Pelodiscus sinensis: one gene and its partners. The protein of the gene in region 3 interacts with the protein of the main gene of each other region in a pairwise test. Links are inferred from orthologs where the notes say so. Each region holds a gene or a part of one and is shown on either strand. Other genes may lie near its edges.

Region 1 (7,851 bases), on a different chromosome or scaffold from region 3:
ACAGAAGTTAACCTGACTGGTCTATAGTTTCCTGGGTTGTTTTTATTTCCATTTTTATAGATGGGCACTATATTTGCCCTTTTCCAGTCTTCTGGAATCTCTCCCGTCTTCCATGATTTTCCAAAGATGATAGCTAAAGGCTCAGATACCTCTTCTATCAGCTCCTTGAGTATTCTAGGATGCATTTCATCAGGCCCTGGTGACTTGCAGATATCTAACATTTCTAAGTGATTTTTAACTTGTTCTTTTTTAATTTTATCTTCTAAATCTACCCCCTTTCCACTAGCATCCACTATGTTAGGCATTCCTTCATCAGACTTCTCAGTGAAGACCAAAACAAAGAAATCATTAAGCATCTCTGCCATTTACAAGTTTCCTGTTACTGTTTCTCCCTTCTCACTGAGCAATGGGCCTACCCTGTCCTTGGTCTTCCTCTTGCTTCTAATATATTTATAGAATGTCTTCTTGTTTCCCTTTATGCCTGTAGCTAGTTTGAACTCATTTTGTGCCTTGGCCATTCTAATCTTGCCCCTGCATTCCTGTATTGTTTGCCTATATTCATCCTTTGTAACTTGTCCTAGTTTCCATTTTTTATGAGACTCCTTTTTTATTTTTAGATCATGCAAGATCTCCCAGTTAACCCAAGGCAGTCTTTTGCCATATTTTCTATCTTTCCTATGCAGTGGAATAGCTTGCTTTTGGGCCCTTAATAATGTCCCTTTGAAAAACTGCCAACTCTCTTCAGTTGTTTTTCCCCTCAGTCTTGCCTCCCATGGGACTTACCCACCAGCTCTCTGAGTTTACCAAAATCTGCCTTACTGAAATCCATTGTCTCTAATTTGCTGTTCTCCCTAACTTAAAGATGCACTGGACAAAATATCTCATGTAACATTAAAATTCCTAGGTTAAATCTGCTGGATATGTATATATTATTATGTTGCATGTTTCTTTCTTGTATGTGAAGCTAAAAATATGAAGTATGAAACTATAGTTTAAAAAGTGCTAATGAGAGCCATTACTGGTGCCTTCCACCTTTCCCTCCACAAACCTTAATGACCTGGTGATCAAGTTAACTACTAGTAAATAGCCTTGTTTGTACTTTAAGTTCTGAAGGTGGCTGGTCCTAGGAAAATATGTGACCATACCATGTGATACTGGGATCCATTTTTTAACTTGATATTTTTCCAGGGATGGGGAGGGGATGTAAAACAAAAGATTCCCGCCCTGTGGGAGAGTCTGTTTAAGCAATAGGAAGCTATCAGCCATTTGTCTTTGGCTGGCCTGGGGAATGGCCTGGCATGCAAAGAGGACTGGAGACCCAAGTCAGAGTAAAAGAGCTTGTCTCTGACTTGAAGATTATGCCTGAAATAAGAGAAGTCATTTATCTGCTTGTGATAAGTTTCTTAGTGAATTAGAATTGGCTATGTGTTTTCTTTTCATTCTAATTTAGTAACTCACTTTGATCTGTCTGTTATCACTCGCAACTACTAAAATCTTACTGTTAGTACTTAAAAACAGTTTTGTTTACTATCAGGCCTAGGGGAATAATTGTTACCCAGAGACAACAACCATTGTGCATATCTCTCGTTCATTGATAAAGAGGGTGAAAATCCTCATGAGTTTTCCCTGTTTAAAACTTTTACACTGAGAAAGACAGATTTATTTGGGGGTTTGAGCTATTTTGGGGGTTGATTTCCTGAGTGCTGTGCCCTAGAACTTCATCCTCCCAGAGTTGAAGTGATTTAGTGTCTGCATTGCTCTGCAGGAGGGCAGTTACCCCAACTCTGTGCTTTGTCTGGGGGAGACCAGAGGATCTGGCCTAGAGAACACGGTGGTGGGGAGCCCCAGAGAGCAAAAAAGTGGATGTCAATGGCATGATTGGCACACGGAGAACAATCCCAAGGGGACTTCTGTGACTGCACCTCCAGCACATCGTCTTTCAATATTTCCAAGATGCTGCCCATACTGTGGACTTGAACATCTCATGCAAAAGACTGAGGTCCAAAATCTTGGAGCTGGACCACTAGAACCATTAAGTTATCCAGTTAACTGATTAAATGGGGGCAGGTGGGGGAGCCGTTCCATCCTGCTGGGCTAGACTGCCCCCCCACCACCACCACCACAGCTGGACTGGAGCAAGGGCTGCTCCAGTCCAGCTGCTTAAAACCCCACACTGAGCTACTGGCTCTGAGCCTGTAAGCCTACACAGGTTGGGAGCTGGCAGCTCTTCCCCCTCCCACCCCATGCCCTGTGCGAGGCTGTGGAACTCCCAGCCCTTGTGGGCTAACAGTTAGCTATTACCATTAAAGGGTTATCTGTAAACAGTGATGCTTACCAGGTAACTGGTTAACCAGTTACCCGTTCAGATCCCTAATCACTATATGGGTCAGAAACCTGAAACCTCTTACAAGTAGATGGTGCAGTTAGATGCATTCCATATGCTCCAAATCTTGAGCATACAGTGATTCAATTTTATGCAAAATGCCATAACCTCACAGCTAACTGGCATTCCTTCAATCACTCACTACATTCAAAAGCAGTATTTTATGTTCTTCCACTTCTTCAGGATGAACAGAGACACCCCAACACACTATTTCTCCATCAATGTGCAAAAGGGTTCACACCTTGATCCTACCTGACCTTGCCTATGGAGCTGACTTGAAGATTGATGGATTTGCAGAATTGAGCCAGACCTGGGCATTTGACTTTGAGATCCCAGCTGTGATGCAACTTGGCCTGGTTGTTCTGAGTGGTGCCCTGTTCTGTTCCCCAGGGGAACGTGCCAGTTTGATGATCTCTCCCCACTCAAGACATGATTCTGGAGGGAGTTGCCTCCATCCCCCTGCCAGCTGCACCCCCCTCCCAGTTGTGCTTGATGGTATGTTCCATCCTCTTCCACAGCTGAGTCTAAAGGTAGTTTCCATTTCTCTCTCTGAGTGAGGTGGTCGGGAACTCTTCCCAAGGGGCTGAGTTGAGTTCTCTGGTAATTCCTTGCCCCTCTCCCTCTCCGGTCAATGGTAGCCTCCATAATCCCGCAAAGCTGAATACAGATATGGTGCCACCCCCGTCTTCCAGTTAGTTGGTAGGATCCATTCCCCTCCCCCCCCCGAACTCGGTGGTAGGTACTATCCTCCCCCCGCGGCCGGGTGCGGTGGTTTGCCCCGGCAGTAGCCGAGTCTCGGCCGGCCCCCACCCCCTCCGCCTTGTCATTGATGTTGTTGTTTTTGTCGCAGGAGGCGAGGCCGGGGCCGCGGCCTGGGGCTGCAGCAGCGGGGCTCGGGCCGGCGCCAGGCATGGCGGTGTGCGGGGAGGCGGTGGGCGCCGGCTCCCTGCCCAGCGAGCTGGTGGTTCACATCTTCTCGTTCCTGGCGGGCCCGGACCGGCTGCGGGCCTCGGCCGCCTGCTCGCACTGGCGGGAGTGTCTCTTCTACCCGGCCCTGTGGCCCCGGCTGCGCCTCAGCCTCTGCGTCTCTCCCGCCGAGCGCCCGCGCCTCGACTTCCTCATGCGCAAGTGCGGCTGGTTCGTGCGGGAGCTGCGCGTCCAGTTCGCCGCCGACAACTACCCCAGCGGTGGCGGCGGCGGCGGCGGGGGGGTCTGCGAGGGGGCGGCGGCCGAGGGGGAAACGCCGCTCTGCCCCCGCTGGCTGGACCTGCTGAGGACCTACCTGGAGCTGGTGCTGTGTGTGCTGAGCAGCGTCCGCAACAACAGGTACCGCGGGGCGCCCCGTCTTCTGGCCTGGCGCGCTCCCTGACTGGGGGAGGGGGACACATCTCTCGGGCTCAGCTCCTTCCCCGAGCCCGCTTGGCTTTCCCACCTGCCCCTTTCGCTGGGGGGATTTCCCTCCTGCCGGGCCTCTTCAGCCCACCCGCCCCGTCCTGGCCTTCTTCGCTGGGACATGTTAATAGGAACATCTTGCTCTGTACACAGGAAAGGAAGGATTGGGAGAAAGAGTTTGATTAGAAAAACTTCTTAAGGAAAGAAAATCCTGGAAACCAATTAGATTTCCCTTGAACTTGCTTTTAAATAAAGGGCATAATGGAGGCCACAATGAGGACTAGGTCACCTATTGTGTGTACTGATGCTTCATGAAGATAAATCGTTACACACCTGCCAATCGATAGCTCATGTACAACACGCTCCATATTCATAGGAACTGTGATTTGATGAGAGGTAACAATTCAGCGTGTAAAGCAAGCGTGTAAAGCATTGTCTTAAATGAAGCATTATTTGGCATCTCTGATATATAATGTCAATCACTTATTATAGTGCAAACTTGACAGTAAGTAAAACTTACGGTAATAATTTGCAAATTTAATGTCCTTGGAATTCTTAAACAGTGTTAGCCCATATAAACTAGCTTACACATACTTTGCATGGTATCATATTAGCTGTGGAATATAAATACAATGTAAAATATAGAAATAGATGAGCTGAGAATTTACATTAGCTTGTGGTAAAAATTTTTAAAAATCAACGTATAGATCTGCAGCACCTTAGAGACAAACAAAAAATATAGATGGTATCATGGGTTTTTGTGGCCGGTGGTACACAATAAAACAATTGGAGTTGTACAATAATTGCATTTTTATTTTAAGAAAAAAGAAATCACAAATCAAATGTATGATCAGAGCTATAAGTTTGCATTATGGTGTGTATAGCCCATTTTTTTTCAAAATACTTTGAATGTGCCTTCATAATTTATCCATGCATGAACAGACCCAACAGATAAGTTGTGCTACCTTGTGTAATTTTAAATTGTTCCTTCTACCACACTGTGATGTGAACTTGGTATTATAAAAAAAAGTATTAACTAAGTCTATCATAATAGCTGGGTTGCTGGACACTCAGTAATTTCTGAAACAGTTTGGTCTCTAAAAGAAGGAAGTTTATATTTAGTCAGAAACTATTAAAAGTGAGTGACTTGTAATTGTCCTTGGTCTTGGGAGATGCTGATGGTAAAGAGGAAAATCGGGTTCAATTGTTAAGGTGCTAGCTTAGAACTGGGGATTCCTTGGTTCAATTTGATGCTTTGCCACAGTCGTCTTTAGTGATCATGGACTCTGGTCTCTTTGGGCCTCAGTTCTCTTTGAAAAATTGTGATCATAGTGTAGTGATAGAAATGTAGCCGTGTTAGTCTGGGGTAGTTGAAGCAAAATGCAGGACAATGTAGCACTTTAAAGACTAACAAGATGGTTTATTAGATGATGAGCTTTCGTGGGCCAGACCCACTTCCTCAGATCAAATAGTGGAAGAAAGTAGTCACAACCGTATCCTTTGGTATATATGGTTGTGACTACTTTCTTCCACTATTTGATCTGAGGAAGTGGGTCTGGCCCACGAAAGCTCATCATCTAATAAACCATCTTGTTAGTCTTTAAAGTGCTACATTGTCCTGCATTTTGCTTGATCATAGTGTGTTATGCTTATAAGAAGTACATTGGGTCTTTTCAGGGGAAAAGCCAATATGCCACGTTTATTGAGAATATAATGGCAAAGCAATTAGCATATGCTTACATAGACAGACACATATACGCACGCTGTCCCACCAATCAGTGTTATATTTACCACTCCATGGTCTGTGCCCAGCCAGATTGATGACGGATGGAGGAGCGGGGGGGGGAGGGGTCTATCGGTCCAGACCAATGCTCCAGTCTTTGGCAAGACGTCCCTGCTCTTACGGCGAAACAGTTCTCCTTTTCCATCAGGATCAATGGGGTTTGCATCGTCATGGTGTTTTTCTGACATGTTTATTATATCCAGTTGTTTCTCTTGCTCCTTATCATTTTTGTTCTGCCATGCTAAGCTCATTTTGATCACTAATATTTTGTCCCAATTGATAAATGCTTGCCTTCTTTCAGAGCTGTCGATTTGCCCATTGCTTACATCTTGATGGGGATATGCAGCAATCTTCGGCATTTTTACGTCTGTTCTTGTTTTTTTCCTAGAACGTTTGGTATGGTGACCTTCGCACTTATCTCTCATACATTCCTCACTGTCTTACACATAACAAGGTTGATTTCTTTGCTACAGAGAAGCAATGTGCACATTTAAACAAGGAAATAAAATATATATTTTTTTAAAAAGTCACCCTTTTCACTTATTTCACAATACTAATTTTAAAACAAAAACAAAATTATCTGTGCCTTAGAATCAACTTTAGACACAATATTCTGGCTGGTGCACCTTTACAATAAAGGTAAGGTAAAAGGTCCTTTCTGCTTTCAGAAAGGGTGGCTGGCAAAGTACACTAAGTCACATTACTTAGCATAAAGCTACATTTTAGCTACATGGCTATAATAGTACAGGTTGAACCTCCCTGATCTGGCACCCTCTGGACCTGACTGGTGTAGAACTAGAGAATTTGCCATACCAGGGGAGACCAATGTTGTTTAGCAGCTTACTAACACTGCCACTGCATACTGGACTCTTAGAACACATTTAAGGATAAATTAGAACTAAATAGCAGCATGGAACACTGAGAGCCAGGACTGGTGGCTGTAAACAAACTTTATGGAACTGTGGGAAAGTTGGCCACATCCATAATAAGTGGATATCTGGCTAACTAAAATCATGATGGGCCACAGATGTTGCTGGACCAGAAAGTACCAGATTAGAGGTTCAACCTGTACTTCCTTACCTCACTGTAGTATGGCACACACACTTGGTATGGTAGCCATTAAAACAACTAAGACAGAAAAGAAAGAGACCATTAAGATGCTTCAGGATTCCCATCAATATCAGGAAAGGGTATGACTGGAAAGGGATCTAGTGATCAAAATGAAATTAAGAACCTTACTTCCACGCTAATATCCAATACAAAAAGCTATAAATGTTGTTGTGGGTATTTTAGCCTTCTTCAAACTGCAAATCAGTTTATCAGAAAAGTGGCTACAATGATGTGTAAAATTAGAACATGTTAGGGCTGTTATGCATCTGTGGCTTTGGGGAGAAATATTTGTTCCCCCCCATCTTTTGTCCTGGGTTGTAAATAGAGAGTAATGAAAATAATCCATGCTTGGTCTTAAACGAGTACATAATAGGCAGGTGAAATTATCTTCCTTTCAGTCCCTCCACTTTATTGCAGTTAGCTTAGAGACAGTTTCTGTGTGTTAGCTCTCAGCCATCTCACTGACAAAACTTACTTTCTAAAAACATCACTTCTGCTCCAGCTCTGAACTGAGGACCCTAACATTGATACCAGACCATTCATATTTTAGTACATGTTACTCCAGTCCTCCACTTGTCAACATTTCAGGGCTGTCTCACTCAATCATCTGTCTGCTGCTATCACTCTTTGTCAAACATCACTAAAAATTAGTCAAAAAATGTTATTGCATTTTAACACATTGGGTGACTAACTTGGCAACAATGTAATGTGGAGTGGATTCCAGTGTGCTGTATCCTAGTGAAAAGTTCTCATATACTGTGTAGCATTCACAGTATATCATTACTTTGAAAATCACTTCTTCGCTGTTGCTATCCCTTATTCCCCAAACACTTTATAACAAGTGCTTGTGTACTAAGAGTGAGCTTTTGCTATTCCAAATCTGTCTTTACTACTTTGCCAAACTACATTTTATATGCACTCTCTTCAAATTTGTGTATGCTTTAGATATTTTTTCAGCAAAGTGTTTACTTCTCTGTGCTACATGTTGATACGGCTATAATAAAACACATGTTTTATTTAGCTCTGTTTAATTAAAATGATAATAGTGTAAAAGTGCGTTGGCACTTCAAGGTCCCTTGACAAAAGAATCCTTGTCTTGTTGCTAAGGTACAATCGTGCCCACTCTAGGGGACACATCTCCTGTGAATCCTTTTTACATTTAACCATACCAATTTAGTTCAGT
Region 2 (7,876 bases), on a different chromosome or scaffold from region 3:
AAGCCTCACTCAAGGCCAGATTAAGAAAGAGGCTTTAGGAGACTGTAGCCCAGGAACCCGCAACTTCCTAACCTGAGCCCACAGTTGCACTCCAAAAGCCCATGGACCCAGCCTGGATCCCTCTCCTGTACCCCAAATGCCTAATCTCCAGCCCCACCCCAGAGTCTACACCCCAAGCTAAATCCCACATCCTACCCAATCCTGAGCCCCTCCGACACTCCAAATCCCACAGACTGTCCATAGGCAGAATGAATTTTGTTTAGTGCACCAATATGGAGGTAATTTGTCATACATCATCTCCATATTGGTGCATGTAACAAATCATTCAACAAATGGACATCATAAATTAGAAGGAACACTAGTCCGGAGTTCAGGTTGGACAAACTAAAGAGAGTTTAAAGAAAATGACACAAGTTTTCAAAAATGTGACTTGTGAGGAAAAGTTTAAAAACTGGCTGAAGCCGGGCTTGATAAGTCTCCAAATATATTAAGATCTGTTATAGAGAGAACTGTGATCAATTGTTTTCCAGGTCACTGAAAGTAATAAAAGTAGTAATGGACCTAACCTTTAGCAAAAGAAATGTAGGTTAGATAGGCAGATAAACCTTCTAACTATATGAAAAATTAAAAACTGAGTCAGGCTTCTAAAGGAGGTTGCAGAACCCACATTATTCAGGGCTTCTATAAACAGGTTGGACAAACACCTATTAGGGATGGTCTAGACTTACTTGGTCCTGCCTCAGAACCTGGAACAAGACTAGATGACCTCTCAAGGACCCTTCCAGCCCTACATTTCTATGCTGTTAGTGTTATATACTGTCAGTAGTGTTACTGTCACAGACTGTCATAGCCTTGTTAAATTTTACTGGCTGCTTTCCAGGAAAACTCTGAGCAGGAGACACCCCCAAACTGTCTCCTTGTTTGCTCAAGACACCACTACAAATTTAATATCTGAAAAGATGTCTAAAGCAACCACTCTTTCCCTTAACTAGGAATTATCTATTTTAGGAGAATTTATGAGGGAGGGAGGGAGCGAGGAGGGGGGAGAGAGAGAGAGAGAGAGAGAAAGTGCAACTCAAGCAGATTTTTTAACACATTAAAAGAAGGATAATAAATTTCAATCGGTTACACGTTTAAATGCTCTGCAGGCTGCCAGACCTGCGGATTCCTGACCATGGCCAGGAGATTAACTGATAAGATAATGCTTACCCATTAATCTGTTAAACTCTTATATCCCTAGCTTAAAGCAAGGGCCCACAAAGTGAGGTGTGCACTGACTACATATAACATTGACTGTGAAAGTCGTGCACTCCTTCTGCATCCAATCAAAGCAGTGCTATGATTCTGTCACCCCCCTCCCTCCCTGAATTCTAGGTATGTAAAAGTAGTTTTTCTAACTGCACTATCCTGGGAGACTGTTTTCGTTTCAACAGTCTGAAGGAAGACCGCTCATGTGGCCCACTCACTAGCCTGTGTTGCCCACCATTGCACTATGATGGTTACTTTTGAATTCTGAAAGTTTGGGCCACCACTATTAGAGAATTCTTGACCTCTAGTCATGTAGCTGACAAATTTAATGTTCTTTCCCTAATTCAGAAGATCTTTACTTCCCCTTTCCCTTCGTATGGAGCTCCCTTTGATCTCCAGCTCGGCAAACTAATTTGGTTAAAAAGCTGGCAAATTAAATGCTATGTTTAACTGATTAACCCTAAAGCAGGCCCCTCCATCTGCAGCATGCAAGTGGCCCACCCAGATTAGAGCAGCCCCTCTCCTGCAGCCGTGTAGTATTGTCAGGCTACAAAATGTTCTAACATTTTGATAACACTTTTAAAAACAGACACACGCTGTATCTGGGGAGTTATTTGAATTGTGAACACACTTGTTTACAATAGGTTATCTCCTAGAAAAGTTGACAGACTATTTTAGTCTTACAGCAAGGAGAACGCTCCACTAAGGATAGATCTATATGGCCTAATAAATTGCAGTGATGCCCCCAAAACTGAGCAAAGATCCAGGGGTGATCATTTTCTCTCTGGATCCAACTGCACATACCACACAAGGAGAAGAGGAGAGTCTGGAAACAAAGTCTCATGAAAAGGTAACTAACAAAATGAGCAAAGAATACAGAAACCTTAGGGTTATTTCCTCCTACTGAAAGGAAGTAACAAGCATCTTAGAAGCTGTTTTATTACCAATCTTCTAGTTAAGTCAGAAAAAGACAACGCTCGGGCCAGCCACCAGCCCTCATCTATAACGTGCCCTCATTAGTGCAGATGTGTAAAACCCGAACACCCGAAATGGACATAACTCTCTGGCTAACTCCCCTGGCAGTTTTCCTCCCGGAGGCTAGATCGGCTCTCTCCGGCTGGCTGAATCTCCGAGCTGGAAAAGCCGAGTGAGTTGAAATGAGGGGGACAGACCAGCGAGAGGCGCGACCCTCCGCGAAGAGGTACAGCCACACGCCCACCCCAGCCGGGACACCCTCCTCCCTGCACCAGAAAACAAGGGGCCGCGTCCAGCTGCGGGCCCCCGGGAGCTGCAGGAGAAACTACAAACAAACAAACCAGCCGCGGCCGGCGGGGGGAGGCCGGCGGGCTCCGGCACATAGCAGAGCCCGCCGCGCAGACGGGACCCCCGAAGGGCCGCCTCCCCCGCCCCCACTCACGCCTCCCCGCTCAGCGGTAGCAACTTCGGGCAGCTTCCACCCCCTGCCCGCAGGCGGGGCCCCTGCCGCGGCCGCGCGACTCACCCCCAGATGACATAGTTGGTCTTGACATTCTTGGGCCAGGAGAACTCGCCGAAGATCACCTCGTCCCCCTTCACCACGATCTCCTTCTTCTGCGTGTTGTACTGCCGCAGCACGCTCAGCACGTCCGCCATCTTCGCGCCGGCCGCCGCCGCTCCGCCCGGCTCGGCCCCTCAGCCAGCCGCGCGAGGACCCCGCCGCCACCGCCAGGGCCCCTCCGGGCTGCCCTTGCCGAACGCCTGCGCGCAGCCGCCCCGAAGGCCTGTATGCCCCGCCCCCGCCGCGCGCAGCCTGTGGCGAGGGTGACCCTCGGCGTCTGGTCGGGCCTAGTCTGCTCCGCCCCCGCTTCTTTAAGCCCCGTCCCGCGTGGCCTGAGCCGCGGCAGATCTGGCACTTGCCGCGAGTCCTCTGGGCAGCGGCTCTGATCATTGGGCGAGTGAGTGGAGCGATAGCCCAGTGTGCCCGGGGCGGGGCGGGGCGGTGGGAGCAGGAGGAGCCGGGCCCAGCTCAGTGAGGTGGGAGGGCTCAGGAGGTTCTGTGAGCGCAGGCGTGGGGCTCAGGCAATGCGGGGCGCGGTCCCGGGTGGAGCAGGGCTCAGGTGAGCAGCCACGCCAAGTGGCTTGGGACTGCCCAGGTGCGTGGTGATGCCAGGTGGCTCAGGCAATATGGCTCGGGCTATGCACTCCCTGCCTCTGCCCGTCCTCTAAGCCCCGCCACAGGTGTTGCCCTCCCTCTGCTCCCCCCCCCTTCATCCCCCATATGGCATCTCCATCTCTAGGGGTTTTTAAGTCTTGGCTTGACAAAGCCCTGGCTGGGATGATTTGGTTGGGGTTGGTCCTGCTTTGGGTAGGGGGCTGGACTCAGTGACCTCCTGAGGTCTCTTCCAGACCTAGGATTCAAAAATCATGACTCAGCCTCACCAAAAATCCATGAGATTGGCTTTAACATTTCTAGGTGATGTAAAAATAATAGCTATTTATTTGCCTTCTGCATTCTGAGTCTTTCAGGTGCATTGTGATCACCTTTGCAGCTTTCTTCACAGCCACAAGGGCTAGAAACTTATTTTTTCTTTAAGATTAAAGGCTGAAATCTCATATCCACTTGACTGAAGGAACTGGGGTGTTAAGGAGACAAATAATTAGCATGAGACTCATGATAGAAGGGAACACTTCACAGCCCCATGGGCCTGCACAGCATAGGGTTACCACTTTCAAATATTAACAAAAAGTGTTCCATAATCACCATCACAAAGCAAAGCTGTCATAATCCTAACTACAAGGTAACTCTGCACCCCATCCCCCTTCAACAGCCATGTATAATATGTAGAGAGATAATACATATAAATAAGACTGTTTTCAATTATATCAAACAGGCATTGGTTTTATCATCACATTTTGCCAACTAGCCTTTGTAGTTTCAATTAGCAAGTTGTCACTGAATGTGCAGTTTCTGATGCAAGCTTTTTGGGGAGGATTCAGTAGGGTCACATGACCCATTATAGGGCTCTTCCATTATTATGCCTTGCACATCTCCTCATTCTCACTTTCTCATGTTACTATAACCCTCTCACATACATATGTGCGGCACACTTGGATGTTGGTGAGCAGAAAGCTGCTGTACTCAGGGCCATTCGTACACATATGCTAAATACGCAACTTCATAGGGCACCAGAAAATGGGTGGCATCATTGGGTTTAATATCCATTCTACCCACCTCTTCCTATTCTTGATCTGTGGCTCTGAGTCTCCTTCCAGAGAAGATATACTTAACTTAAAAGTGAAAAGGCTTGCCAGACTTATTAGCAGAATATTGAACCTTTGAAAGAGCCATTCAAGTGGTAATGAAACCATTTAGTAGGCATATATTGTCAGTTTCTGAATGTACTGTGTTAGACTTGGCCATGTCTACGTTACAAGATAAGGTTGAATTTATTAAGGTTGATTTCTTACCACCTGATTTTGTAAAGTCGAAGATCCATGTACCCACTGTGTGCAAGAATTCAATATATTTAAAAGTAGCATGTCCCCATTAGGAAGACTGTCATTGACTTTGAGAGTGATACACTTTGGGTAGCTATCCCACAGTGCCTGTGCCATTTCACAGTCTGAGTTATGCTCCCAGTGCACTCTGGATCAAAACTGTGTAGCAGGTGGTTCTGGGTTCATGTTAGCAGCCTCTCATAATGCACTCATCTGCTTACTCCCCTCCCTTGCTTGAGATCAATAGGAAGCAGGAAGTGGGGGGGCAGAGGCTGGAGCCATGCTGGCAGCAGCTAATAGCTTCCTCTCCTTCCTCCAGGTTGCTACGTTAGATATCAGTCTCTCTCTGAATCACACAGAGCAACAGGGAGCACATGCTGACTAAATGTGGCCAGAAACCTGGGCCTTATGCTGTCATACTTTATACTGCAATGATGCCAAACCATTTTCTGGTGGCTTGGCATGGGAACATATCCTACTGTCAGGAGCAGCCCTAGACAGCAACTGGTGCCCTACGTGAAGTGTGCGATTGGCTCACAATCAGCGCGCGATCGGCGCCCCCGCCTCCAGAGCCCTCAACAGCCATTTATCTTGATGCCCTAGGCGACTGCCTAGTTCGCCTGTATTGACGGGCCACCACTGCCTACTGTGGAGGACAGGATAAGGCAGTCCTCGGAAACCTTGTGAGAAGGATCAAATATTTCCCGTGGAGAAAAACAGGGAGGAGTCCTGTTCCATTTCCAGACAATTTAAACAGACTCTTCTAGGCTCCCTACGCTATGCCACACATCACACCCATTACCTTAACTCTCTTGTAGCAAGAAAAAAATGTGAAGATACCAGAAATGCCCAAATGTGAGATGTCCTGGAAGGAGGGGATTGTGTTTGAGGTTATAAAAAATTTTTCTCTCATATCACCGACAGGCTAGCTAATCTCCTCCTCCTCCTCCTCCAGCACCAAACTGTCCTCCACACTGCTGCCCCGAGTGTCTTGGAAGGATTCTATGGTCTGTGTGACAGATTATGTCTGGGCGCGAGCTCCCACCCCTGCATTAGGGTGGGGCCCAGCGAGTCCACCGTCTTGAAACCCGGGGTCTGGCAGTTAGACAGGCACGAGCTCTCCAACTCACCTCCTTTTGGGGTTGAGCGGGGCCCAGTGAGCCCTGCGGTCAAGGAATCACATGGTCCTTCAACCCCCTACCGGGGCCAGCTGTCTATAATTACATCTCACTGGGGCGGCTGCCCTCATGACCTCAAGTAGGATTATGCATTTGCTATGCGAGGTAATAAGGTGGGGTTAGGGGAACCCGGGCCCGCCCCCTCCACCAGGTCCCAGCCCGGGGCCCTATGGGGTTCGGGTACTACCTTTACTCAGCTGACGGTGTCCCACCCCGTAACACATCAGCACACGGGCGCCAAAAGAGCGCCTTGTACGCCGGGACTTACCATTCCAATGCGAGCCCTGGTTTTCCGGGGTCCCAGCCTCCTGACTCCAACAGGGGGGAAGGAATTGCTTCCCCGCGGTCCTCCCCCAGGTTCTGCCTCCTGGGCGGCTTTTGAACCTCCCGCCGGAGGTCACGTCACTCTGTGCAGTTTGTCAGGCCGAAGGGGGTGGGGTTATGTCCCCGGTCTGGGGTGCCACGGACTGCCCCCCACCACTGACTGCCACTGTCTCCTGAGGTGCGGGAGTCCCGCCCCCCATGGGGTTCGGCGCAGGCTGCTTGGCCGCGCCCTGCCGCCGGGGCCGGAATCAGCACCCGGCTGGTTTCAGTGTGGGCCTTCACTGGCCCGTAACACACCTCCCGCCTTGGAGGCTCTTGGCACTCCCCCTCGTCGCTGTCCCATATTCTTGAAAAAAGTGTGCATTCTGGTGCCTATTGCCGGGGCGGTAGCTTACCTCTAAGTCACATGGCTGCAAGGCTAAATACCATCCCATAATATGCATGTGTGTGTCTTTCATAGAGTTGAGCCAGACTAACGGGGCTTGGTCTGCTATTAATTGGAATTTACTTCCCCATAAATAGTACCATAGGAACTCCACTGCCCATTTTACAGCTAATGCTTCTTTCTCCACCGTAGCGTAATTTTGCTCCCGGGGCAGGAGTTTCCGGCTCACATATAGAAGTGGGTGTTCAGCCCCTTGGTGTTCCTGCGCCAGCACCACTCCTAGTCCTACTTGGGAAGCGTCTGTGTAAAGAAGAAAAGGTTTTTCAAACTCCGGCTGTATTAATACCGGCGCACTAGACAAGTGTTTTTTTAATGTCTCAAAGGCCTGTTCTACTTGCGGGGTCCATTGCACCCGTGTGAGTTTTGTGTTTTGTGGTTTTTGTGAGCTTTGTCAGTGGTGCCGCTGTTGTGGCAAAGGCGGGGATGAATCTCTTATAATAGTGGCCAGTCCTAGGAACTCTCACCTGCTTCTTTGACTTCAGGGCTGTGTATATTTTCTAGGGCCTGCATTTTACTCACCAGGGGTTTCAACTCTCTCCTCCCCCCATGCCCCACGGTGTACCCCAAGTACGATACCTCTGTTTTGGCTAGGTGGCACTTCTTTGGGTTCGCCGTCAGGCCCACTTTTCCCAGAGCTGCCAGTATGGTTTCAACATGGCGTAGGTGGTCTGCCCAGCTGCTGCTGTAGATGATGATGCTGTAGATGGCGGCAAAGGCTCAGTACGGGGCCAGCAGCTGGTCCATCACTCGCTGGGAGGTGGCCACTGCCCCATGGAAACTGAAGGACATCATCCTGAACTGGAATAGCCCGAACAGGGTGGAAAACGCTGTTTTATCTCTGACTTCTGGCTCCAGGGGGATTTGCCAGAACCCCTTTGTTAGGTCGAGGGTGGATAAATACTTGGCGTGTCCTAACTGATCCAGGAACTCATCAACGTGAGGCATCGGATAGGCATCGAAACGAGATATAGCATTAACTCACTGAAAGTCGATGTAACGCTGAGTGGTTCCATCAGGGCACCAGGACAATGGGGCTACACCACTCGCTTTGCAATTCCTCGATCACGCCCCTTTGTCGCATCAGCTGTACTTCGTCTCATACCGTCTTCCACATTTTACGTGGCAGGGGTCGAAGTGGCTCTTGTACCATCTGGCCCACTTCGGTGATTATCCAGTGGCACCCCAAAGATGTGCGGCCCGGTCT
Region 3 (7,846 bases):
TCAAATGAAGCCTGGGATTTAAATATCTGAGCCCGGGATTTAAATAATACTCCTCATTGCAGGAGGAGTAACAGTAGTTCGAATTAGGAGCTTTAATTCGAACTACCTAGCCCGTGCTGCGTGTAGCCGCGGGCAGGTAGTTCAAATTACTGGGCATTTAAAAATGGTGGTGTCTGGGAACATGCAAATGAAGCCCAGGATATTTAAATCCCGGGCTTCATTTGCAAGTTCGAATGACTACATTAGCCACCCTAGTTCGAACTAGGGTGGCTAGTGTACACATACCCTGATGTTATTTCAGAGTAACAAAGTGCACATATACACAGCAAGCCGTTATTTCAAAATAATTTTGGGATGGAGGACTTCTTACTCGGACTCCTGTAACACCCATTTCATGAGGAGTATGAGAAGTCAAAATTGAAAGAAGAACGTTTTTCCTTTGACTTCCTGCTGTGCCAAAGACCAAATTAAGCTATTTCTACTTCAGCTATACAATTGACTGCAGTGTAGTTGTGCCCTAAAAGCCCAAAAGTCTATTTGTGCAGCTCCACCTACCAACTGGAATAGTACTGAAATAACCACTACATCTAGTCCTGAAAAATCAAAACTATCTTGTCCATTAGACTGTAAACTCTTCAGGGCAGAGGCTATCACTGTGAGGCCTCGTTGGCTTTATGGCATCACCACAATAAACAAGATTATTAGTAATGAATCATTAGTAATAAGCCCAAGGATCTCAAAACATACAACAAACTCTTTGAGGCAGTAGTGGGTAGATTATTATAATTTTATAGGACGACAAATTTAGTAGAGAACCAGCTCTACAGAGTCAAATTATTAGAAACGTTTTTGTAATAAAAAATGGCAAAACTGACCACATGTATTCAGCATTTTAAACAAACTAAAAAATAAGACAAATGCTAGTAATTAAGGCTACATCTATGTCAGCGGGAGGCATAAGGATCTTGCTCAAAAGGGTTTTTCTGCGCAAAAAGGAGCCATCTACACAGTGCTTTTTGCACAAAAACCGCCTGCACAAAAGGAATCCGAGGAGGAAATGCAAACGAGAGTGTGATATATGCAAATGAGTGCTCCATTTGCAGTTCCTCCTGCTGAGGAGGATCATAGTTTAGACATAGCCTAAGAGTTTGAGTCTACTCCAATTAAATTTGAATTTCCCCAGTACCGTATTTTCCGGCGTATAAGGCGACTGGGCGTATAAGACGATCCCCTAATTTTTTAGTTAAAAGATAGGGTTTCGTCTTATACCCCAGCGCCCCTCCACCTCCTTTGCTCCCGGTGTCCCTGGTCTGCTGGAGACGGTCCCCAGCAGACCAGAGGCACCGGGAGCAAAGCCGCAACAGCGGCGGGGTCCCGCGCCTCTGAGGCTTTGCCAGAGCAAAGCCTCAGAAGCGCGGCACCCCGCCGCCGCTTCGGCTTTGCCCCTGGTGCCTCTGGTCTGCTGGGGACCGTCTCCAGCAGACCAGGGACACCGGGAGCAAAGCCTCTGAGGATGCCCCGGCAGCGGGACAGCCCCGGCGCGCCTGGGCTGCCCCGCCGCCGGAGCCCCTCCGCGGCTTTGCAAAGCCTCGGGGGAAGCCGGCGGCGGGGCATCCCAGGCGCGCCTGAGCTGCCCCGCCGCCGGAGCCCCTCCGCGGCTTTGCAAAGCCGCATACCCGGCGTATAAGACGACCCCCGATTTTGGGGGGATGTTTTTTAACATCAAAAGTCGTCTTATACGCCGGAAAATACGGTAATTTCAAAGAAACAGGATTGCGCTATAAAAATGAATGGGGTAAATTGGTTCAGTTAAAAAAAGTGGTCATGCTTTGGAAGAAAATGTAATGATACACTTTATATCACAGACAATACACATGCACCCTGATTGCCTAGTAATGAGCACATAAAAATAAAAATCAGTTACTGAATGTAAAAATAAATAGTATTTATCACAAATTGCAATGAAAGATATTAGATGTAAAATACTGTATAAGGGTTAGAGTCTGCTGCTATAAAAAAATTAGAAATCACTGGATCCAGCCATGAAAAAAGCAAAACTAGCCTTTCACATGTTAAAAGTATCTAACAAAGCCTGGATAAATTTGCTTTTAGCTATTTCTTTCTAAACTTCTAGATCAGATCTATTGGGGGGGGAGGGGCACGACAAAACATAAGTGATGCTTTCATAGTCCCTTACTGAAACTTCCTAACTTATTCATTGCGGGAAACATTCTATCTATCCACTGTCTTGAGAAAGTAACTAGACCAGAAGGTCTTGCTGCAATAACCTTTCGGGATTCTCTTTGCCTGAGCCGCTGTGGGTGACTGGAGGGGGACAGAGATTAACCAGTAAATAAAATAACTTTTCTCCATCCTGATCACTGTTACGGTGAGCAAGCAGCTCTCGTGCCCGTGCTACTATATTCTGAAATTTCTGCAAACCCCGTGCAGATTTGGCCATGGCTTGGTGGGGGGGGGGGGGTGTTAAAGCGAACTCCACTGTCTGCATAGAAGAGGCCGTACAGTAAAGACAAGGCGCTTACCCATCGTTGTCTAGCCACACAGGACGCTACGGGCACTCAAAGCCCAACGTCTCTCCATGCCCCCTGCCTAGAGTCAAGCCGTCACCATGGTGATTGCGGGGCTACCCCGCGCCTCGCTTCCCCAGGCGGCGCGGGAGCAAAGGCTGTTGCCCCCTCCCCGCGCGCTCTGGGAACCCGCCCCGCGCCGGGTCTTACAGGAGAGGGCAGGTGGGGGAGGGGCGAGGGGGGGTCTTCCCAGCGCAGGCGGCGCCTCCCCCCACCCCCGCGCAGCGCAGGGCGGGTCCCCGGCTCCCCCCCCCATCCGGGGAGGGGGGGTCTGTACCTGTGGGGCACGCGCCGCTTTCCTCCTCCTGCGCCCCGGGGACTTTCTGGCGCTCATGGCGGCGGCGGCTCCCCCGGCTCTGGCCGGACTCCGCCGCCCCCTCGCACTTACCCGCCTCGCCGCCCGCCTCTCCCGCTCCCGCCCGGCAGCCCAATCAGAGAGCCCCGCAGCCACCCGGGCCGGGGGGGGGGGGCAACTGCTCAGAGAGCTCCCCCACCTGCCCCGGGCTGCGACCAGCCGCCCCTCGGAGCCACCGGCTCCCCCCACCCCCTGCGCCTCTGCTGTTACCTGCTGCATTAACCCCCTCGCTGCCCTGCGCTCCTCTCCCGGCCCCCGCCCCGTTCTAAGCCGCGCGCTCCATCCCCCCCAACCGTCGCTCGCGCACACAGCGGGTTGTGAGGCGCGCGCTAGCCCCGTGCCCTTCAGCCTCTCGTGCGGGCAGCGTCGCTGCAGAGCCGGGCGCCAATGGCTATGTATAGCCCCCCTTTGCAGAGCCAGGGAGCTCGCTGCGGCCCCGGTAATGCACGGGATGGGGCGGGGGGGGGCAGAACCCCAGCCTCAGAGCCCCACGCACAATTGCACCTGCGGTCTCGGGGCTGCGGGGAGCTGCCCAGGGAGTTTCCACCGCAGCATGAATCCCCTTCGCTCTGCGCTCTGGCCAGCGCCCGCGCGGCTGAAGATGAGACGCGCTTTTGGTTTCAAAGGCAATTCCTTAATGCCCTGAGAGCCGCCTGCTGCGATTGACTTGAATGTGCCGAGCCTAGGGGCGGGGGAGAGCTGGATACTGTTATGTCGGTCATTTGAGAGTCAGCTCTCCCCCGCCCTCCCCGAAATAACCGCCAGAAGTTTACAAAATCAAGAGATGCTTTTGATGCCCACCTGGAGATGAGACCGTGGCTCTGATAGTCCCTCCCTGCCCCCGCAACTAAGCTCCCTCTCTTGGCATTTATCTCACCTGGTGCATGGGACTCACCGCTGCACTTGTGGAGGAGCGATACTGAAAATAGTTATCAAAGCAAGAGCTGGTTCATCAGAACAGCCTATGCTCAACGCTCACAGCCTGAAGGAATTGAAACGTGCCTGTGGAGCAAGAGCAGGTAAAAGGGTCAGTGGTAAGAGGGCAGTGGCCAGTGCATCTGACATTGATCGCTGATGGAATACAGGATACATGAGGCTAGGTCAGTGGTTCTCACACCACTTCCCGCGGCTCCCCTTGGCTGAAAAGGAAACAATGGGAGCTGCGAGGCTCCGTGGCTGTAGCACCTGTACATAAACCGGAAAGGCCAATTAAAGTGTTTCCATGGTACACTTTCAGAAACACTGGTCTAGATGGTGCTTGGTCCTGCTGTGAGGGCAGAGGATTGGACTGGATGACTTCTCAAGGTCTCTTCCAGTTCTAGTATTTTATGAGTTTATGACCCCAAGTACACTGGGAGAAAAATCTCTTCCAGATCCTGCAGGTGGCCAGCTGAAACTCTGAGGCATGAGCTTTTAGGAACATAAGACAAACTGGAAATGAGTCCCAGGCTCTCAATGCTGTGGAGCCCTGCCCCCTACCATCAGAGGTGTTAAGGGACAAGAAGATTTGTCATTCCCCGGGACCTCTTGCACCATTAACGCCTGCCATTGTCCAGAAAAAGTGTGAAGGTGGCATTCCTGACAAACTTCTTTGAAGATTACAAGAGCTGAGCTGATGGAGAATGGGAAAGACTTGCACCATCTCTTCCTCCAACAGGTTTTAGCACAGGGAGTTTGTATCCAGGACATTCTGCATGGCAAACTGTTTGCCGCTAGCCACCACCGAGCATCTGTATAAACACATACCTGTATTTAGACAGAGACAATTCCCCCCTGGGGATTAGGAGCTAGCAGCATCTTTGAAAAACAACTCCACCCACAAAGCATGGGCGAAGCCTGAGCAACTATACCTCAAGAATCCTCCAGGCAGTATCAGGAACACTCTTCCTCTCTTTGTTTTCATCTCTGACAGGTTAGCATCAATAAATTGCTTTTTATCTCTGTCGCAGCAGAAAGTATAGGATAAGAAAATCTGTATTATCTAACACAATATCTAGTCTCCAAAATAGAAATGAAATTACAGGACATGATTTCATATCCTTCCGTGAAATTCTTCACTATGAAAAATTCATTTGTAGGGGAAATATCTTTTATCTGTGCTTTATTCTTGAACTTTTGATTTTTTTTTCTCTTAAGTGAAATCCAACTAAAATGAGTATCTCTTAAAGGAACAGTGCTAATAAAGAATGCATTTTCTGTGCACCAACCAAAATGTGAGGAAATGGAGACTGGACACTATACAGAAGAGTGTTTTCCGAAGGAGAAGAGGTGACAGCAGCACTTTTGAAAGATAGGAAAGACAGAGATGGTGTGATTAGCTGTGATCTGTGAGGATTAGGAAGCAGGAGGATAGAAATGAGTGTAGATAGAGCATCAGTTAGGCAGAGATGCTTTTGTTTACAGAGGAGATGGAACATAGTGATGGCTTTGACCTCACCTTCCTGTATGAAGACTGCATTAAAAGAGAGAGAGAACTTCATACAAAGTCCAGTTCCTACTAAATGATGACAAGAGAGAGAGAAATACTGTGTGCACTTTATAATTGCAGAAGGAATTCATAGATACTATTTGATAGGAGTTTGCTCCCCACATTGGTCCAAAATAGCCCCAATTTGGCAACTTTTGTAGATGGTCTGCAGAATACATTTATTGGAGAGACTGTTTGGAAAGGACTTGAGGGCATGCTTCCCAGATTGATGAAGAGGGTTTTTTTTGTAGGTTATATTATTATTTTAAAGATGTTGGGGTTGGTTTGTTTTTTGGTTGTATTAGTTGTGTTAGGACACTGAAAGCTTTTTATAAGTATATTATTTTATGTAAATATTATTTTCATATTGTGGAATACCCACCTTACATCTTGTATATACATACACACACCCTACACCCCCTCGCCAATTGTGGGTACAAGTGACAGAAATGAGGTTCTTTGCAGGGTGGCTGGACTTACTATCCAAGATAGAGTGAGGAGCGCAGTTATTTGGGAGGCCCTAGGAGTAGAGCTGCTATTCCTTCAGACTGAGAGAAGCTAGTTGATGTGGTTTGGGCACCTGATAAGGATGCCATCTAGGAGGCTTCCGTTGGAACTCTACTAGTCACATCCCATTGGGCAGAGGCCTCAAGGCTAACCCATGACATACTGGAGGGATAATATTTCTAGCCTGAGAATTCTGGGGAATCTCTCTGGGTATGTCTACACTACCACCCTAGTTCGCACTAGGTTGGTTAATGTAGTCATACGGAGTTGCAAATGAAGCCCGGGATTTGAATTTCCCGGGCTTCATTTGCATGATCCCGGCCGGCGCCATTTTTAAATGCAGGCTAGTTCGGACTGCGTGCCGCGCGACTACACGCGGCACAAACTAGCTAGTTCGGATTAGGCTTCCTAATCCGAACTAGCTGTATGCCTCGTGGAATGAGGTGTACAGCTAGTTCAGATTAGGAAGACTAATCCGAACTAGCTAGTTTGTGCCGCATGTAGTCGCGCGGCACACAGTCCGAACTAGCCTGCATTTAAAAATGGCGCCGGCCGGGATCATGCAAATGAAGCCCGGGAAATTCAAATCCCGGGCTTCATTTGCAACTCCGTATGACTACATTAACCACCCTAGTGCGAACTAGGCGGGTAGTGTAGACATACCCTCTGGGAAGAGCTGGAACCTGTTAGGGAGGAAAACGAGATAAGGACCTCCCTACTCTCTATTCAGCCACTATGACCCTGACCAGGAAAAGCAGCATAAAGAAAAATAATATTTTTTATTTAAATATAGATAGATAAAAACTTACACAGATAAACAGATAACATTAGTGGTAGGAGAGATTGAAAGGGTACTCTTTTACATAGGAGGTCAAAAAAGAGTGAGGCCCTTAGATCGAAAACAGTACGGGAATACTAATACTAATATATATTAGTGACTTTCCAAATTAAGAAGATTGTAAATTTCTCAGAGCACTTAGTGAAGAAGGTATTCTTAATATTAATATGTCTATTGGCATATAGATATGTTGGTGCTCCTTTCAAAGCAGAAAGGATATGGGACACTATCCTGGGGGGCTAATAAATAAGGCCCAATCCTTAAATTGATCCCTATAATGGGGTGGTCAACCACACTGGTGAACAAGGGGTTGAACATCCAATGAGGGGGATGCTTGAGGCAGCAATGAGAGCTCTGCTGGCCTGTATAAAAAGACAGCTGGCCTGAGGGAGCTCACTCTGCCCTGGCCTGCACTAGGGAGTTATTTTGAAATAACCCCCTTATTTTGAAATAATAAGCAGAGTGTCCACACTACTCAGCCCGTTATTTTGAAATAACGGATTGGTTATTTCAAAATCTGTGCTCCTGCTTTCCATGGGGAATGTTTATTTTGAAACAGTTAGTTTGAAATAGCGTTAGGCTGTGTCCAGACTCCATGCCTCCGTCGACGGAGGCATGTAGATTAGCCAGCTCGGAAGAGGGAAATGAAGCCGCGATTAAAATAATCGCGGCTTCATTTAAATTTAAATGGCTGCCCCGATCTGCCGATCAGCTGTTTGTCGGCAGATCGGGAGAGTCTGGACGCGATGCCCCGACAAAGAAGCCTTTCTTCATCGACACAGGTAAGCCTCGTGAAACCAGGTTTACCTGTGTCGATGAAGAAAGGCTTCTTTGTCGGGGCATCGCGTCCAGACTCTCCCGATCTGCCGACAAACAGCTGATCGGCAGATCGGGGCAGCCATTTAAATTTAAATGAAGCCGCGATTATTTTAATCGCGGCTTCATTTCCCTCTTCCGAGCTGGCTAATCTACATGCCTCCGTCGACGGAGGCATGGAGTCTGGACACAGCCTTAGTGTGGACGCTCCGCTGCTGCTATTTCGAAATAACTACTCCCCAGAGAAATTCAAAGTAATTACTCCCCGGTGCTTC

Evidence for each region.
Region 1: the proteins of TSGA10 (region 3) and ZNF410 interact in binary tests that used the Homo sapiens proteins (3 or more experiments, as listed by UniProt). The two-hybrid records come from large-scale screens. The link is inferred for Pelodiscus sinensis from reciprocal best matches to the Homo sapiens genes TSGA10 and ZNF410.
Region 2: the proteins of TSGA10 (region 3) and CDC73 interact in binary tests that used the Homo sapiens proteins (3 or more experiments, as listed by UniProt). The two-hybrid records come from large-scale screens. The link is inferred for Pelodiscus sinensis from reciprocal best matches to the Homo sapiens genes TSGA10 and CDC73.

What each region holds. Positions count from the first base shown.
Region 1 is NC_134714.1:45,158,297-45,166,147, forward strand, and holds the start of ZNF410 (zinc finger protein 410), read right to left. Parts: upstream 3,004-7,851; 5' UTR 2,641-3,003; exon of another isoform or gene 2,625-2,640; intron 1-2,624. Other genes in the region: FBXO33 (F-box only protein 33), read left to right, coding at 3,213-3,709. UniProt on the Homo sapiens protein: Transcription factor that binds to the sequence motif 5'-CATCCCATAATA-3', and is specifically required to silence expression of fetal hemoglobin in adult erythroid cells.
Region 2 is NC_134719.1:49,814,221-49,822,096, forward strand, and holds the start of CDC73 (parafibromin), read right to left. Parts: upstream 3,095-7,876; 5' UTR 2,881-3,094; coding exon 2,750-2,880; intron 1-2,749.
Region 3 is NC_134711.1:229,168,104-229,175,949, forward strand, and holds the start of TSGA10 (testis-specific gene 10 protein), read right to left. Parts: upstream 3,101-7,846; 5' UTR 2,923-3,100; coding exon 2,866-2,922; intron 2,776-2,865; exon of another isoform or gene 2,544-2,775; intron 1-2,543. UniProt on the Homo sapiens protein: Plays a role in spermatogenesis. When overexpressed, prevents nuclear localization of HIF1A.